Rattus norvegicus: one gene and its partner. The protein of the gene in region 1 purifies or fractionates together with the protein of each later gene. This does not show direct contact. Links are inferred from orthologs where the notes say so. Each region holds a gene or a part of one and is shown on either strand. Other genes may lie near its edges. The genes, in order: Khdrbs2 and Fbxw11.

What was found.
Region 2: the proteins of Khdrbs2 (region 1) and Fbxw11 purify together in Homo sapiens (affinity purification with mass spectrometry; 3 studies listed by BioGRID and IntAct, counting the BioPlex papers as one, with this or other methods). This does not show direct contact. The link is inferred for Rattus norvegicus from reciprocal best matches to the Homo sapiens genes KHDRBS2 and FBXW11.

The regions. Positions count from the first base shown.
Region 1 is NC_086027.1:42,149,291-42,158,961, reverse strand, and holds part of Khdrbs2 (KH domain-containing, RNA-binding, signal transduction-associated protein 2), read right to left. Parts: intron 3,309-9,671; coding exon 3,162-3,308; intron 1-3,161. UniProt on the Homo sapiens protein: RNA-binding protein that plays a role in the regulation of alternative splicing and influences mRNA splice site selection and exon inclusion. Binds both poly(A) and poly(U) homopolymers. Phosphorylation by PTK6 inhibits its RNA-binding ability.
Region 2 is NC_086028.1:17,810,589-17,820,259, reverse strand, and holds part of Fbxw11 (F-box/WD repeat-containing protein 11), read right to left. Parts: intron 6,506-9,671; coding exon 6,319-6,505; intron 4,916-6,318; coding exon 4,825-4,915; intron 1-4,824.

The DNA of each region.
Region 1 (9,671 bases):
TCTTCAACAGTGTTTTCTTCAACACCTAATTTAGTTGAAGGAAGTGAGTTGGTTTCTTCCATCATAAAGCATTTCATAAGGGATTTCCTGAACTCATACTGGTATTTCTGATGACTGTAGCCTATGGACATAGGCAGGTTTAGTAATTATATCTAATATAACAAGGAGAAGATGAAAAGTTCCTATGATGAAAAGATACAACTTTACAGAGGAAGAAGATGTCAGTAGAATGTCAGAGTTCTGGCCTGAATAGGTCTTCTGTATTGTTCTAGCATCCAACTTCCTGATATGAATTGTCACCTCTGATGTTTATAAATATTAATGTCTTGTGATGTTGTCATCATCTATCTATCTATCTATCTATCTATCTATCTATCTATCTATCTATCTATCTATCTATCTATCTAATCTCTTTGTGGTTCTGGTAATAGATAAGGTAAAGAAATACTATCCTTTGCCTGGAGCTAAGAAAGGGAAAAAGAGAAACATTCAGAAGGACTGTCACAAATGGTATGGCCTATAAAAATTATTGGGGAATAGGTTCACAGCCACAACCCTCAGGACACTCATGTTCTAAGAGGTAAACAAACCATAAAGAGGTCTGTGCATGTATGTATGTATGTATGTATGTATGTATGTATGTATGTATGTATGTAAGTATGTATGTATCTGTCATCTATCTATTATATTCTACCATCTATCTATCCATTTATCCATCTATCATTTACAATCTTCCTCCATATCACTCTATATAAGATATGATTATAATAAAAAACTGTGAGAGAAATAAATAGGGAGAGAGGGTAAGGACAGTGAATCACTATTTTGAATGGAGTTATCAGTGATGTATGGGCCTGTCACAACAGCACTGCCTGGTAGAAAGCCACCAAGGAAGCTACTTTAGATTTGAGGTTGAAGAAGTTCCTATGCATGTAAGATTTGAGAAGATGCTAAAAGGGAAAGGAACAGACATGTTAAGTTTTGAGAAGAAACTCCAAGCCTCTAGAGTTAGCAGTGAGCTTCTATGTTGCATAAGCAAGAGCCAAAAAGAATAAAAGAACACAGGATGAGACAAGTGGATTACAGAGCAGAATTCACAGATATGGCAGAGGCAGGGTAGAGCCTATATTTAAATGGTCCCCATGGATTAGACATGTGGCCTAACTGCATTTGCCTTGTGTGCTTTTCTGCTAAATTTGGTTCAGTCATTTCAGAAAAACACTGTTAGCAAAGGTGCTAACAGCCATTCTCTGCCTGTGGAGTTTGAATGACTCTTTCACAGGGTTACATAGGAATATTGCAAAACACAGGTATTTACATGACATCATGGTATGAAGGGGCAATGACAATGATTTTGTTGTTCGGGGCCAGCACAACTGTAAAAGGGATGCAGCATTAGAAAAACTGAGAAAACCCTGCTAAATGGAGAAGAGACAATGTTGGCACAGAAAGAAATTGCCAAGCATGCCAAGCATTCATGTTTTAGTGCATAATTTAGAAATGGACTGATTACAAGGTATAATATATAAGAAAGTGATACATATCATTTACATTCAGTATGCAAGGGCATGGACTTACCATGCATTCTATGTTCAAAATATATGCATCAAAGACATGCTAAAATGAACAGTATAAAGATTGGAATAAAATAAGTAGGAATAAAAGAACAATTGGTTAAAAAGAGGCCAAGAACTTGAAGTAGATCAGGGAGCATTATATGAGAAAGTTTAAAGGGAGGAAAGAATATATATCCAAAAAAAAGTCATATTACTGTGTCTAACACATTTTACCTCAGAAAGTTTTTCTACTATAATAGACTTAAAAGTACATTTCTACAGTGTTTTCCTATTTTAATCCCCTTTGCATGTATTATCCTGTTTGATATTGATACTAGTTGTGACTAATTAAGCTGTGATCACTTTCATTTTGAAGATGCACAAACGGATGCTAACTTAAGTAACTTAGCTAAAGCTATACAATAAATTTGTGATATAAGCAGTCCTGGCCTCACTGCACATACATGTATCTGTTCTGTTCTGTAGTAAATTGACTAAAATGGCTTACTCAGCCTAGCGCTAAATATTCCCTTGGAAACCAATGGAAGAAAGAATGTAGGTTCATCCATCTTGAGAATGGGATATATTTAGGAAGGTTTCCAGATGATGAGACCCAATTAATAACCGTGTTCCTGAAGTTAAGAAATACTCAACTTAGTGAGGCATTATTCTGCAATCGTGTCTTGACAAAGATTAATGTTTGGGTCGGACATGTGACTAGAAAACGTGGATAGACCTTAATGTTTATACACCTAGAAAATTCTAAGATACTTTTGCTTCCCAGTTTTCAATGTTATTACTAATCAATAAACCAAAAATGGAATATTCTTTGAAGTTTTTACTGAGTGTTCAAACCCCTAGTTTCTTCCTTTGCAGATGAATCTCAGAGAACCACTCTCTGAGCTCAGGATTTCCCCAAGATCGTCCACGGAACATTACTCAGCAGTCTCTCAATACCGCAGCACTAAAACTCATGGCAAGATTTCTATTGAAAGACCTCTTCCTAGAATGCTCCTTTTTCATCCTTAAGACTCCGTGCACTTACCTCCTCCTACTTCTTCTTTATCAGCAGAGAACTCCATTCAACTTGCAGTTGAATTGGCAGGTGAGCATCCCCCATTATGCTCACACTGCCTAGTGAGTTTATATTTCTAACTTTTTAAGTTGACATTTATCTGCCTTCATTAACATGATCTTATGTGCTATTTTGTATCAGCCAGCACCTGACATACTGTCACATAAAAATCATTAACTATTCTAAAGTACTGTGAATGTTTTATTATAAATAATATTCAATTCCATCCCTTTTTAATTATACCTTTTGTACTAATTATAAATTTTCAAACTACATGTCAAGGGCTCAAAGCAGGGAAATGTGGCATAAATAATGTATCTTTGCTTGTTATTCTTATTATTCTTATTCTTCCTGGCTGTGGACTCGTGTATACTATATAACTGGTTGGTGGTGAATACTTTTGTCGGAATAATCTATGCATAGATAACTAATGTGCAATGTGAAGTCACTTTCAAAAATCAATGGAGATCAAAGACACAACTTAAAATAGAAACTGATAAGGAACCATTTGTAAAATCAAAGTCACTTACAGGAACCAGGAATTTTTTAATCTCTTCCAAAGCATGACTCATCCGTGAGTAAGCTTCCCCGGGTGGAGCAAACACTTCAATTAATACGTGCAGTTCGTCACTCAGGTGGGCATACTTGGCCTCCCCACTCTTCCTCAGCTCTTCTTCCTGTAAAGAAGTTATATTTAGAAATATGGATGCACTCATTTTACATTGATTTAACATTTCCTGAGAATATGACAAAGGGCCATAATCTAAGCAAATTTTCCAAAGGTGGAAAGAAATTCTTTGAGAAATAAAACTTCACTGCAAGTTGGTTAACCATTTTCAAATTTGGATATTTTTTCCCTTTTCATTTTTTATTGGATATTTTTTATTTAATTTCAAATGTTATCTGCTTTCCCCCACCCAACCACCCACTCCTTCTCACCTCACCTGACATTCCTTACACGGGGTGGGGAGGGGAGGTTGTCCCGCCTTGATAGGACAAAGGGCTTTTCTTCCCATTGGTGCCCAACAAGGCCATTCTCTGTTCCATATGTAGCTAGAACCATGGATCTGTCCATGTGTACTCTTTGAATGGTGCTTTAGTCCCTGGGAGCTCTGGTTGGTTGATATTGTTGTTTTTAACGGGGTTACAAATCCCTTCAGCTCCATAATCCTTTCTCTAACTCCTCCAATGGAGACACCATTCTCAGTTCAATGGTTGGCTGCTAACATTTGCCTCTGTATTTGTCATGTTACGGCAGAGCATCTCAGGACACAGCTATATCAGGCTCCTGTCAGCATGCACTTCTTGACATCATCAGTGTTTTCTGAGTTTGGTGGCTGTATATGGATCCTCAGGTGGGGTAGGCTCTGAATGGCTATTCCTTCAGTCTCTGCTCCAAACTTTGTCTCCATGTCTCCTCCTATGACTATTTTTGTTCCCCCTTCTAAGAAGGACTGAAGCATCTGAAGTTTGGTCGTCCTTCTTGTTGAGCTTCATGTGGATTTTGAAGAAACCTGCCATTGTCCTCAACCACACAATTTTTAATCAGTTTGATGAAATGTTAACCTCATGAAGCCAAGGCATCTAAGGGCAGTTTCTGGAATGATGTTTCTGGAAACATCATTGCATTTTTGGGAGAACAAGGTTCTTTCCTGTCTGGTGTAAAGTACTTTTCGAATAATAAGTAGATTTTCATTGAGTTGTACAGGAACATCAGAGTTTTAATATTAGCTGAAATTACATGAAAGAAATGGTGGGAAACAAGGTTTCCTCTTTCAGCCAGTTCCCCCGTTGCCAAAATTATCACAGAGAAAAAAAAGAAAACCAAACAGACTAACAAAAAAGTTAAACCAAACCAATACCGTTAGAATTTCAAATTGAACAAACTTTGCTTAAGAAATAAAGGGGGCTCAAAAGCATCTTTAAAAATAATCCCAGTCAAAGTCATTAGGGAAACAGAAATAAGGTCTAGTTTAAAAGGCCATCTTATTCCAGTTTGAATGGCCATCATTGTGAAGGTAATGCCAACCCTGCATATGTGGATGTGATAAAGGTGGAATGGTTTACACTTTTGATGGGAGTGAAAGCTAGTGTAGCCACTGTAGAATTTAGACCAGAAGTTTCTCAAAAACTAGAAGTGCCATATGGGCCTATACTCCAGGGCATACACGCAAAGACTTTCTATCTTTACAGAGACACTTCAACTGCCACTCTCTTGTCACTAGCTAGAAATGTACCTGACCTAGACATTCATAAACAAGATAAGAATGTAATAGAAATATGATATATATATATATATATATCACTCAGCTGTTATTGGAGACCAAAATAGCCCAATGTTCAGGTAACTGAATAGAACATCAATAGATCCTAATATGCAAAGCCATGAAGGACAAAAAGCAGAGGTTCCCTCTTGTAAGTGGAATTCTCACTTCAGACTTAGTGTTTGGCATGTGTAAGTTGTATCCCAGGCAGAAGCCAGAGAAATTAATAGAAAAAAGTTATTGGCAAGAGACATAAGTGAAGGAAAGGAATAGGAGATTGTAGATCAGGATAACTAAAGAGGTGAATGCTATGTGGGGGTAGAAAGACTCTGGCAGGCAGGAGTATCATCATGTGGAGGAGCTAAGAGGTAGGGAAAATATATATATATATATATATATATATATATATATATATATATATATATATATATATATATATACTATGGAAGAGAAGAGAGGTACCTGCAACTAAAAGACAAAGTTGGGCGAGGGGGCTGGAGCAAGAAGGGAGAGGAAGTTCTTGTTTAGAATAATCAATGTTAAAGATATATTAAAAGGTTTTATGGAAACTCAATGGTTAAGTGGTTCCAAACTACTAAAAAAGGAGGCCAGGGACTGGAGAGATGGTTCACTGATTAATAGCACATACATACATCACAAAACAAAATTATAGGTGTTCAGTGGTACCCTGCATGTGTGGACAGTGTAGTTCCAAGAATGCATGGATTACTTTATAAGATACATTTATTTTTCTTTTATATGTATGTGTGTTTTGTCTGAACAAATGTATATGAAGTTTATGCCTTTTGCCCATGAAGGCCAGTGAAGAGGGTATCGGGTACCCTGAAACTGCAGAAACTGGTGGTTGGGTGCCATTGTGTTCATACTGGATGCTGAACCGAGGTCCTCTTCAAGAGCAGAAAGTGCTCTAACTGCTGAGAACCAGCCTCAGTGTAAGGAGGGTCCTGAGAAGGGGATATGGGAGCAGCGGTGATTCAACAATGACCAGGAGTCAGTTGTGGAAGCATTCAGTCAGCTCAAGGGCTCGCTCTTTACCTGAGGATTCTCATCATTCTTGCCTCTCCTTTCTTCCTTCTCCCTTCTCATCCTTTGCCTTCTCCCTACCAGAGAGACTGAACCCAGATTTTTTTAACCAAACCTACATCATCAAGGTTTGAATATTGTTAAGGATTTTTTTTTTGGAAATCCTTAAATTTACTTAAATTTTATGAATCCCAGAGCCCTGCTTCCTTAAAACAGAAACTAAACTCAAAGCAAAAGCACATTTTCTTATAGTTTTACACAGTCTACTCTTCACAAGTAGCTGGGCACAGCTCTTGAGGTTTCTTGGTACAGCAGACAGCGGTCTTTAGTAATCCCCTTCATGTAAAAACAGAACAGTGATAGACTACTAAGATTAAAATAATCTCTTACAAAATTTTAAAATTTATGCACTTAAAGCATGCAGCTATCTTTAATATCTCCTTCAATCTAAATTGCCATATCCTGTCTTCCAGGAGAACAAAGCACTAACTTTTTATTTGCTTGTGCATCATCTTATAATTCTCCAATCCTTGATTCCTATCCTAGCAAACCCAGAGCTCCATGTACTCTCTTTCTAATAGTATTTATTTCTAGATCATATATAAGCCTTTCTCCTATAAGACAAGCTCACCTATCATTTGCTTGCATTTATAGATTTCTTCTTTTCCTATCCATGACTTTTCATCTTGAGACTCTCGTCCCTTGATGTCCCCAAGTTCACCCTGGCTAATGACTGTAGCAGTCATTGAGGCAGATGGTACAAGCATCTCCTCCTAATTCCAAATTCAAGTCCAAGTCTGGCAATGAACCATTCTACAAAGGAGCATGTAGGCTTTTACGGCCTCTGTGGTTATGTTGTCTAGATCCTTCCGCATGCCTTCGAAGGCCCAGCAGAAGGCCTGTTCTTTGTCTTTCACAATCTCGTGATCACCTCAATTCCTCAATCTTGAGAGCCACATCTGTTTCATTTATTATGGAGTCATTAGCTCTGAGGAATGGGGGAAGTAAGTTCCCCCAAAAGAGTGATTGAAGATGAAATGAAAGAGAAAGCAGGTCAGTTTTAGGGCATCAGTCATCAGCACATGTGGGGATCAATGGCTTTGGGATGCTCCAGGGGCAGGAAATGTGTGACACCTCCCCTTAAACAGCAATGCTGGATCCAGCATTGGACCAGAGACATTTCTCCAATAAAAAGACATGAGTTACTCAGCAAAAAAGTAATATAAGGTATGAGATGCTTTCTCATGATCATGATGTAAAGTAGACACGGTTCTATTACAGTTGCTGCTGCTGCAACTGTGTCCTTTTTTATTCTGCACTAAGGCAGCCCACCATCACTATTAACATGAGACAAAATTTCTGAACAATGAGGAGGATCCTTGCACAGATTTTAACAATATATATTAAGGAGGCTGGGGCGAAACTCAGCGCTTAATGGTACTTGTTGCTTTGTTAGAGAATAGGAGCTGTGTTCCTGGAAACAATATTGGGCAGCTTACATTCAGCTATGCCTCCAAACATTTTGTTTTCTACACACACACGCACACACACACACACACACACACACACACACACAAACACACACATACACACAGTGATGGTTTGCATATGCTTGGCCCAGGGAGAGGCACTATTAGAAGGTATGGCCTTGTTGGAGGAAGTGTGTCACTGTGGGGGTGGGCTTGGAGACCCTCCTCCTAGCTGCCCGAGGATGCCCAGTCTGCTTCTGGCTTCCATCCAGTGAAGATATAGAACTCTCAGCTCCTCCTGCATCATGCCTGTCTGGATGCTGCCATGCTCCTGCCTTGATGATAATGGACTGAACCTCTGAATCTGTAAGCCAGCCCCAATTCAATGTTGTCCTTTACCTGAGCCAGTTTTACCTGAGATCATTCCTCCATTGAGACTTTCTTCTCAATTGATATTCACTATACCATGTTGCCATTTAAACTATGCATCACAACTTAACTTACAAAGCATCCTTTGAATAGAAGCCCAAATGTGACTTAAAGGAGCAACCTGTGTAAGCTGAGGCAGGCATATCACTATATTGACTCAGGATCTTATCAATATCCACCAGGGAACATCTCCAGAAAAGAGAGTCCTTTCCCATATACTGAGTTACATGTACTCAACTTGACCCATCAGAAAATACTGAGTGGATTTCTAGGCATTTTCCTTGTAGCACAACAAACTAAAACAATATACGGTTTAGACATGACAATGACTAGACTTGTTTCCAGGTTTAAATTGTTGGAATTCACCTCTGGCTTGCATTTAGTTCTGGTAATTAAAACACAAGTGTTTGGAAATATGGTTTTCCAAAAGATTGTGTTCTGTCATATATTTCCAGGACAACAGACTTTGAAAAGAGTGCAAGAAACAGGAAATGATTTTTAGAAACTGTGCAATCTGGATGTGAATTAAACGCCATGGTGTTTTCTGTATGTTGGGTGAGTTTTAGCATTTCATCCTGGCAAGAGGGAAATCTAAGTTGCTTTGGTGATGTATGTCTGCAATCCCTACTACCCTGGAGCTAAAACAAGAGAAGCCAGTGTTGAACACCCAAGCAGGCAAATATAGTGAGCTCTTCTCCCACTTCAGATAAATAAAAAACTTATGGTAAGCAAGCAAATCAGCTTTAGATTTTCATGCAATGATGATACTTAGTAATGCAGATAAGTTTCAAGTGTAAGTCCCTGCCATATGTTTTAATACCAGAGAAGTTAGAGCTTACCCTGTTCCCCTGGGAGGGAGCAAATCACTTGATTATGGTTTTGTTTTAAGGGTTTGAATTCTGGAACATGATGCACCTGACTACAAAGTTACATTTTTAGGTCAATTGCATATTTTTAACATTAAATTCACTTGAGATAATATTATCTCAAAAGTTTCAAATAAGCTTGCTTTGATGAACGCAAAAGGTGGAGTGTTTGTGTTACATGCTAATTTAGTTTTTAGGTTAACTCAACATCTTTAGTCATAAGGGAAATGCAAATCAAAACAACCCTGAGATTTCACCTCACACCAGTGAGAATGGCTAAGATCAAAAACTCAGGTGACAGCAGATGCTGGAGAGGATGTGGAGAAAGAGGAACACTCCTCCATTGTTAGTGGGGTTGCAGACTGGTACAACCATTCTGGAAATCAGTCTGGAGGTTCCTCAGAAAATTGGACATTGAACTGCCTGAGGATCCAGCTATACCTCTCTTGGGCATATACCCAAAAGATGCCCCAACATATAAAAAAGACACGTGCTCCACTATGTTCTTCGCAGCCTTATTTATAATAGCCAGAAGCTGGAAAGAACCCAGATGCCCTTCAACAGAGGAATGGATACAGAAAATATGGTACATCTACACAATGGAATATTACTCAGCTATCAAAAACAATGACTTTATGAAATTCGTAGGCAAATAGTTGGAACTGGAAAATATCATCCTGAGTGAGGTAACCCAATCACAGAAAAACACACATGGTATGCACTCATTGATAAGTGGCTATTAGCCCAAATGCTTGAATTACCCTAGATGCCTAGAACAAATGAAACTCAAGACGGATGATCAAAATGTGAATGCTTCACTCCTTCTTTAAAAGGGGAAGAAGAATACCCTTGGCAGGGAATAGAGAGGCAAAAATTAAAACAGAGACTGAAGGAACAACCATTCAGAGCCTGCCCCACATGTGGCCCATACATATACAGCCACCCAATTAGACAAGATGGATGAAGCA
Region 2 (9,671 bases), on another chromosome or scaffold:
GAAGCCAGATACACCGGTAAGGAGTCTATTCCTAGCCTATTAGTTCCCCATGCTCAGCTGCTGTCCTTTGAGAAGAACAGAGTTGATAGGAAGTGTGTGATCCATTTGAACACAAAGCACTGAACACACAGCATACCTTACTATACACCAGGCGTTGTTTTTAAATTGTATGGATACCTTGGGGCTTTACAGCAGTGTGAATCTAAAGTACTTTGTGAGCCGAAGAACTGAGAAAGCACATTTACATCACATGGAGTTACAGGAAAAACTGCTCTTCATTCAAATAAAGGAACTGAGAGGATGTCTTCTACATTTTCCTACTACTCATCAAGGTATCTTCTGGAAGAGAGCTGGCCATAATTTTTAACTGCACCTAACACACTGAGGACACAGAGAATGAATGAGGAGAGGAGCCAGGATGGCACCTTGTGGTCTCCATCTCCTGTGGTGGCCGAATCAGTTCTTGAAACGCCTGGATGAAGAAGAGTCAGTATCACGGCTGGGCTGTCCCATTTATCCTGAGCCTCAGACAGCTGTGAGAGCAAGGGCTTCTTTCCATGAGTGCCACCAGATGGCCCACTTGCCTTCCAGTCAGAAGAAAACCAGGTATGGCTGTATGGCTGAGCTTCTCCACATCCACAAGGTTCTTAACTTTCTAAGATATTTTTATATTTTAAGGAAAAGTTCAGAAGACTCTTGGTGAGTCGTGCTGGGAAGGCCCTACTTAGGGCAAGTTTTTCAATCTTTAGGTTCTTGAGTCCAAGGTAAGTATAGCTCACCAGAACCAACAGGAAGTCTCAAGGAGGCCATGCAGTCACCAAGGGCACTCCTGAGACTGCTTGTCTCTAGTTCTCCAGCCTCCCCCCCGCAACACACACACACACACACACACACACACACACAGAGAGAGAGAGAGAGAGAGAGAGAGAGAGAGAGAGAGAGAGAGAGCGCACTTGCTGATGACTATGCTTACCAAGAACACTACCACCATGTCCGACAACCTCAACTCTCACTCCAATTCTTCCTCTAAACCGGGTTTTCACAAAATGTCACCCTCAGGCCTGGCAGGCAGCCTTGGCCAGGGGTACAGCTGAGCATCAGCCTCTACCTCTATGAAGCTGGTCCCTGCTCCCTCAACTATCAGAGGACCACGGAAGATGAAACACGTGCTCAGCACCACCTATTGGGACACTGACAGAAGAGTGGGCTGTAATTAAAAGAGAGGGTTCTCCCCATCAGTGGACTGTGCTGGCCTGAGTCATTGCTGGCCGCTTGCACTTCATACAAGGACCATCAAGGTGCTCAGCTATCAGCCCAGCTCGGCGGCAGCGAGGCCCGTCTCATACGGGAGCCCTCTTTAACACCTGCCACGCCATCAGCCCAGCTCGGCGGCAGCGCTCCTGTAGAGGAAGGTTTCACGTGGTAGGGAACTTGTAAAATCGCCTTACCCTGTGCAAAATCTCAAAACACTGGGAGAGTAGCCATGATATACAGAGTATACAGCGGCATTTAAATTGGCAATAGAGTGAAAACAGATGTCTGAGTATGGAGGAATAACATTATTTTTAGAAGCCTAAACATAACTGAGTGGGTGGGCAAGTTTCAGCATTTTCTAGCATTTTTAGTTTCTATTCTGTTAATATCGTTTGCAAACCACAAAAAAAGCTTTCCACTTTCCTTGAATGAAATGTGGTTTATTAAAAGGTGTGATACAACACACCGCCATTTTCCCCATGACCAGTTCCAAGGAGAGTGCTTCAAAGCCACTTACCCAGTAAATATACAGAGTCACTACTCTGGAATGGCAGACATTAGTTTGCTTGTAAGAGCAGCAGCCTTCCATCTGCAGAGGCATTGGGAGTGTGGGCGGACAGAGCCTGGGAGTCGGCAGTTTCATCTAACCAAGTCCCTGCGGTGAGTGGACACTGAGCCTTGAAAGTAGCACTGACAAGGATTCTAGACAGTGAGGGAGTGTGTGGCTGCCTCTTGACAGGACACGCCTCAGGTTTACCAGGAGTTCCTTTTCAATTTAGAGGCCTGCAAACCCTCCATGTGGCAAGAACACCCAGGAGGGAGGAACCTTTGCAGAAAGTTAAGAATGTGAACTCTTCTCCACAGACCGTGACTCTCACTTCCCCATTTTCTGAACAGCAGGAGCTAGCCACACAAAACCAGGTTGCCTATTTTTCCTTAAAATACAGTCAATTTCTGGTGGCTTGATGTGAAAGGCAAAGTTGGGAGAAGAACCTTTTCCTCTATGCTCATGATAGCCAAAGCTGAGAATGATGTACTTCAGCAAGCCATCAAGGAGAGCAGTGTCAAACAAGAGTGGGGGTCAAGGGAGAGCCGATCTGTGGAGTGTAAGGGAAGGGATAGTAGACTGGGGAGCTGTGCACAGGCGAGGGCAACGCTACCTTTTCCCTAACAGAACTAAAGCAAGGCCAAGGGATCTCATCTGAACAGTTAAGGAGCTGACTATCCACATTCTTAGAGGAAGACAAGTCTACTGGAATAAAACATGCCTTTCTCCTTCGCTTCCTGAACTTTCTACTTTGGAAATAGCAAACCACTAACTGTAAACCCAGGGCTAGACTGGCCTGAGCTAAAAGTCACCTCTCCTATGTAGCACATTCTAAAACTTCTTTTAGTCTCAGTGTCCCTTTGTGATATGATATGATATGGTATGATATATGATATGATATGAGATGAGATGAGATGATACGATATGGCATGATACAGACCTTGCAAAATTATTGCTTTTATATGTGTAAGTCCCCTCACAGTTCATGGTAGACTACAGGAGTGACAATCGAGGTGCCTTGCAGGTGATATTTTCACCGCAGTCATCATGGACAAGCTCATCTGTGTGCCTCACAGATATGATCACAGAGAGAACTTCCACATTTATGCCTGCCCTGACAGAGCACAGCACACTCCTAAAGGGTCTTGTATGAAGAGCCAGAGTACGTGGTTGGTAGTGGGCTCTAGCACTCAGTAACTGTGTTTGTTAGAGTATATGGATGGCTGTGGACTGTGCCACTCAATAATGTGTCCGTTAGAGTGTGGGGGCTGCACCACTCACTGTGATCCAGGGTTAACAGTTTTACCTTGTCAGCCGTGTTTCCTAGATTTTCGGTGTGGAGTTGACCTACTTTCCAGGGTATCTAGACTACTGAATGAAAAGGTATGCTATACACTACTAAACAAAGTATCAAGTAAGTGTCCTATCAGTGGTACACTGTTTCTGTCACTATTACTATTAGTGAGTACACTGAAGTATAAGCGTCATCCCTCATACTAAGAAACTTAGCCACAAAAATTTGGAGGAGACTCTGTGGCCAGGCATTGGGTTTTCCCAAACCACACTGTAAGAACCACTGGGAAGACCACCATGATGCAGAGGTTTTGTGTCAAACTGTGTTTCCCCATGGCTCCATTTCCCGTCACATCTGCCTCCTCTGCTAGCTGTAAAGTATTTTTTCTGCCTGAGGAAATGGTTATGGTAAGTGCTGTCATCCTGTCAATTATAACGTAGTCATGACAACTAAATAAAATAATCTAAATCACCAAACCTCAATCTGATAAAGGTTCTCCAGAATTCCTGTTTATTAATGAGTGACTTTAAACAACACCCCCTCAGAAGGAACGCTGCATTGAGACCACTCATAAAGTAGGAGAGTCTGTCGACAGACTCTGCCAAAGAACAGAAGGGCATTTCTAAGATGTGCATGCACACAGTGTCTTGGTGCGCCAACCTAGAGCAGCCCCTTCCCTCCTGAAATACACAAGCCCTAACCTGTAATGGCGGTCTGCTCTATGTCGCCCACTAAGTCCTGCAGGACGTTAGTCCAAGTTCTGAACAATAAGTCAATTAATTCCTAAACTTTATGTGGCCATGGTTTAAAATTATTGAGCCCTCCCTAAAAGGTTAGTTTTTAAGTCGTTTTAGAGAGCATACACACAGATGTACCATTAATGGGATGGATCCATTAGTTCACATCTGCCTGAGAAGGAGCAGGGATGAACTCCACAAAAGCACATGGCTCTCCAGTAGGGAATTTTGGCATAATAACTTTTATGTTCATCACCTGGGGAAGAGGATTACTTCCCACTTTGGAAACTGGCTGCAACTTTATGGGAGATACAACACTGGCCATCGAAAGCTCACCTTCTCTGCCACAGAGGACACAGTGGAGAGATTAAGAACATACATGAAAGAGTTAATGAAGAAGTACCTGGGCGTGCCTATCCTGGTTTAAGGGAAAGGGCTTAATAATCAAAGTGAATTAGAGCACACCGACAATATCAAACATGGCTAACATCTCTTAGCAAAAGCACAGAGCTCTGCTGGTCACTGAAGTCAACTTCACAACGGCCCCAAAGCATAACCTGCTTCACAAAGCCCGTTTCATAACAGCTTAGAATAACCTGAGCCATTTTTATGAAAACTTATGCATGACCTAAGAGTAGACTCCATACATGCCTTCCAGAGATGACTCAAAAATACAAAAGTACATTCACCTAAAAAACTGGGCCTTGGATTGTAGAAAATTTATCAAATTAGAATACAGTTTATCTTGGATTAAGGTTTTAATTAACTGGCAGCCTTACAGAAGCATTCTGTGTTTTAGAGAAGTTGTGTTTCGATCAAAAGGTGAGTTCAGCTCTGAAGAGCAGCTACAGATTACACACTGTGACATTCATGTCCAAAACTCAACTTTTAAAAGTGCGAGTTCCATGAGTTTAGAACAAAAGGACTTTGAAACAATATAAAAAATTGAGAACAAGCCCCCAAGGGTGTGAGACAATTAAGTAAACAGTTACCTCTATGTCCTGGATAATCTTTGGGTATAATGATCTATAAAATGAGTTGGGAGGGCCATCTGTAGGTCTGTTTTTAAACAGGTACTGATCCCTGGCAAATGAAAACAAACACATGTTACGTTTTTGCATATAAGAGAAGGGATTTCACTTAAGCATCTTATGAGAACAGCCCGAGGTCCGTGTCTTTTCCTTGCACTAGTGTCAACTGTCAAAGGGAGGGGCTCTAACAAGCTACAGTTCCCATGGTAGACACAATCTAGCTCTGGCATGACGCTGGTCTTTTGTCTTTCGAGTGCTGTCCATCACACAGATAATTAAGCTCTCATTTTAGAGCTTTTTCCCCCTTAAACTTTATTTGTAAAAGCTTGCAAAAAAAAAAAAAAAAAACAACAACAACAACAATAGGACACAAGGAAATGAAGCAGTCGCAAAGTCTATACATTTTAATGAATGTCTTAAAAATTACAATAGGCATTCTGAAGCCATGAACTTCACACTAGACTTCACACTTTCAGGATCAAATATATCTTTATGTCTTATCCACTACGAAAAACGAAAACTCCATGCTAGAGTTACAATCAGGAGAACAATTAGCTTGCTATCCCTTTTCAAAATTCCTCATGCCCATTAGCCACACTCAGTCCTTCCTCCGCAGGACTGTGCCGTCCAGTGTGGAGTTCTGTCAGACTGCACCCACATGGAGAGTAAGTGCTAACGACGTCTGTGAATCGTCTTATTTCACATTACATTTCCCCCATATGGAAAATGCAGCGTCGCCCTCCATCTTCCCTTCTTGTGCCTGACTGTAACTCTCTATGCTGACTGAGCCGGATCACTGACAATGCAAGCTATCAAACTGCATCTAAGCTCATGGGCTTTCCTAGAAACCCCATGGTGTGTTTCCACTCTTCCCCGTGCACAGCAGTAAACACAGAAATGGCCTAACTCAGGCTGCTGGAATAGCTCAGTGACAGAGCAGTTGGTTCAATCCTAGCAATTACAAAACTAAGTAACATTACTAGACTCTCATATTTTCCTTTAACAATTTGTTTTATGTGTGGGGGTTTTGCTTGTGTATAAGTCTGTGCACCACATGTGTGCCTGCTCCCCATGGAGGCCAGAAGAGGGCATCAGATCCTCTGGAACTAGAGCACCAGACTGTTGTAAGCTACTAGGTAGGTGCTGGGAATTGAATCGAGGTCCTCTGAATGAACAGCCCATGTTAACCACTGATGGATTTCTCTAGCTCCAGCTCTCTTACCTGTCTATGATGGGAGGAAGCACACATTTAGAGCTTTAAAAAGATGAATGTGTCACCCACCTGAGGCCTTAAAACCTTTGTACCAACAAACCCGTGTCAGAGGAGGAGCCTCTAACAGCTTAGACTTTCATTTTCTTCCTTGTTGAAACAGACTACACATTCACAAGCATTTGCCTGAGTAATCAAGCTGACAGTACACCACAGGAACGTTTTCCAAACAAGCCCGTACTTACCAGCCTCTTCTTTCTGAGAGTCCCTTCCAGAGAGGGTCGGTGCGCACCATCCTCTCGATCAGCTTCTTCCAAAGCATCCCCTCGGAGATCACCCGCTGCCACTCTTTACACACCAGCTCTGCTGCACACAGAGACCTGGCATCCAGGTAGGAAAGAATGTTCTCTGCTATGTGATCTAAGCCTTGCTCTACAACACAGAAAATCAAGGGAAGGAGTGGGTAGGGCAGTGCACAGACCAGTCCTTACTCCAAAGGAAAAGGTAAGTAACTCTTTTTTTTTTTTTTTTTTTTTTGGTTCTTTTTTTTTTTTTGGAGCTGGGGACCGAACCCAGGGCCTTGCGCTTCCTAGGTAAGCGCTCTACCACTGAGCTAAATCCCCAACCCCGGTAAGTAACTCTTAAGGCAGGCACAATAAGCACAAGCAAAGCATGGAAAGGCTCAGGAACTGTCTTGCCATGACAGCTGCCCTGGGACAGCTCTGTCCTTGGAATTCTCAGAAGCCCCTCCCCATTTTTCTGCTGAACTTTAAAAGGCCAATGGTTCTCCAAAGTTACAGCCAAGGAACACAGAGGGAAAGCTCTTGGGCTGTGCTCTGTAGTGAAGCCAGAATGGGAACTCATGCTGTCTTGCTTCAAAACCTGTGCTTTTGCTCATATTGTGAACATGAGCAATAAACCACACTCCACCATGAACTCTTGACAGCCATGGGACCAAATGGCAAGACTGACCCATTTTTTAAAACATATGAAGATTTAAAAAGTGTTCAAGTCATGCTAGAGAGAAGGCTCCGAGGTTAAGAGCACTGCTCCAGAAGAGTAGTAATTCAATTCCCAGCATCCACATGGTGGCTCACAACCATCTGAAATGGGATCAGATGCCCTCTTCTGGTGTGTCTGAAGACAGCTACAGTGTACTCACATACATAAAATAAATAAATCTAAAAAACTGAAAGTAAAGAAAGGTAAGTGTTCATGTCAGTCTTCTAATCTCCTCTGACAAAGAACTGCTTTCTGTTCTGAGCAGATGGGTAAGAACCCTCAGAGCAATGTCCTGCTTCCTCACTCACTCCAGGACTTTGGGAAGAGCCTGCTCGATCTACAGACCTGAGGAACCCAGAGTGGAAGGACATAACCAACTCCCAAAAGTTGTTCTTTCACCTCCATAGAGTTGGGAGTGTTGTGGTACACACACACACACACACACACGCACGCACAGGCACGCGTGCACACACACACAGGCACAGGCATGCGTGCACACACACACACAGGCACAGGCACGCGTGCACACACACACGCACACACGCACACACACACACACACACACACACACAGGCATGCGCACGCACACACACACACACATGGCAGAAATAAGAGGAAAATGCAAGGGCCTTGCAGAGAAGTTCACTCAAGGTCCAGCTCTGCCTGAGCTTTGCCATGGAAGAGCACCATGGGTAGCACTGTCACTGCCTGTTGCATTCCTTCTTGTACTTGTAGGTGTCGCTCTGTGGCTACAGAAAGCACTCCTCATCCCCAAGTGTGGAACATCCACATTCCATGTCCCAAGTTCAGTGTGCGCTGCTGGTCGCATGACGCAAACCAGACACTGAAACAACCCTGCCTCAGTAGCAGCGGCTGCTGCCTCCATCCCCTCCTCACAGAGTGTGGTCAAGAAAGGCTGACTGTGAGAATCGACACAAAATGACGCGTAAGGAATTCTGTCCACCCAGATGTGGTGGGCGCCCATGCCTGACATTTTAGTTGGAGGCGGGGATGTTTCACAAATGGAGATTGCCTTACTGTCTCAGAGTGACATGGTCACACTGCTGATGACAGCCCCAAGCCTTTCATATACTGATTCTATCCTGGACTGGATCTAAGACCCAGCTCCACCCGAGGCACCACTGCTATGCTGTTTACTTGAATTACCTTAGGGTCACACAATCAAAGACTGACCTCCTGCCCCTAAGGGCCATATCAGAGCAGGCTCCTGAGACGGTTACAAGTTAAAATAAATCCCATGTCCTTCTCCCCAGTTGCTATTAAAATGATTGATTCCCTTCAATTCTGACTTGCCCACCAGTGGGACAGGATCACAGCACTTCCTGCTTATCCCTACCGTAATTCAGCTTCAACATTTCCACGTGGCCCGGCCACTGCAGTCTCGAGAATTCTGGTTTTTAGCATCCAGAAAACGGATATTTCTCGGCAGACTACATAAGGAGCAGACCACCTTTACCCGCAGCTGACTACAAAGATGGGGAACGGGTCAGAACCAAGGACAGCACCCAGGACGGTGGCGCTCCCCTGCAGGCTATTCCTGATGACTCTGGTAATACTCCAGGGTCCCAAGACTCAGGTGCCAGCTCAGTGAGACATACAGACAATCCAGTCCACATCTGTCACTTCAGTCCCTAGGGACATGCGGACAGGCTCCCATGAAGACACTGCCGTCTGTAGCTCATTCTTCTGACCTTGACTTGGGAGGAGCCCACTGAGTCTGGCTCACTCTGGTACTTACTTACTAGTTGCTCTGCGTCCCTCCTAACATACACAATCCATGCTTTTTGGAGAAAAATTACAAAACACACATAAACAAATTAACTGCCAGCTCTAAAGCCCTTATCCAAGCGATCTTTCACACCCTGCATTCACCTGTTGGAAGATTATCCACCCTTCCTAATCTTTCCAGGTGCCAATTAACTTTTTTTAAATTAAGATGAGCTGAAGAATAATATCCAGCGTAACATATGCGTTCTATAAATGCCTCCTCGGTTCTTTTTTAAAAATATTTATTTATTTATTATATATAAGTACACTGTAGCTGTCTTCAGACACACCAGAAGAGGGCATCAGATCCCATTTACAGGTGGTTGTGATCCACCATATGGTTGCTGGGAATTGAACTCAGGACCTCTGGAGGAGCAGTCAGTGCTCTTAACCACTGAGCTATCTCTCCAGCCTGCCTTCCCAGTTCTTTTTTTTTTTTTTTTTTTTTTTTGGTTCTTTTTTTTTCCCCCCCGAAGCTGGGGACCGAACCCAGGGCCTTGCGCTTCCTAGGCAAGCGCTCTACCACTGAGCTAAATCCCCAACCCCGCATCCCCAGTTCTTAAAAGTTGGAGACTTGTCTGACAGTCTCCTCTGGGCACCATCAGGCAGGACTAAGAGCCCAGCTGCACCAATACTCAGTCACTTCTCAGAACTCCCCAGTTCTGAACAGCAGTCCCAGGCCCTGTCGCTACCCCACAAATTTGCTTGCAGGATTTCTAAATATATTCACATCTTTCTGGGCCACATTTTTTTTCCTTTACTGTTTAAGAGACAGAAAGACCAGAGTGGAGATAGACCATGCTGCCAT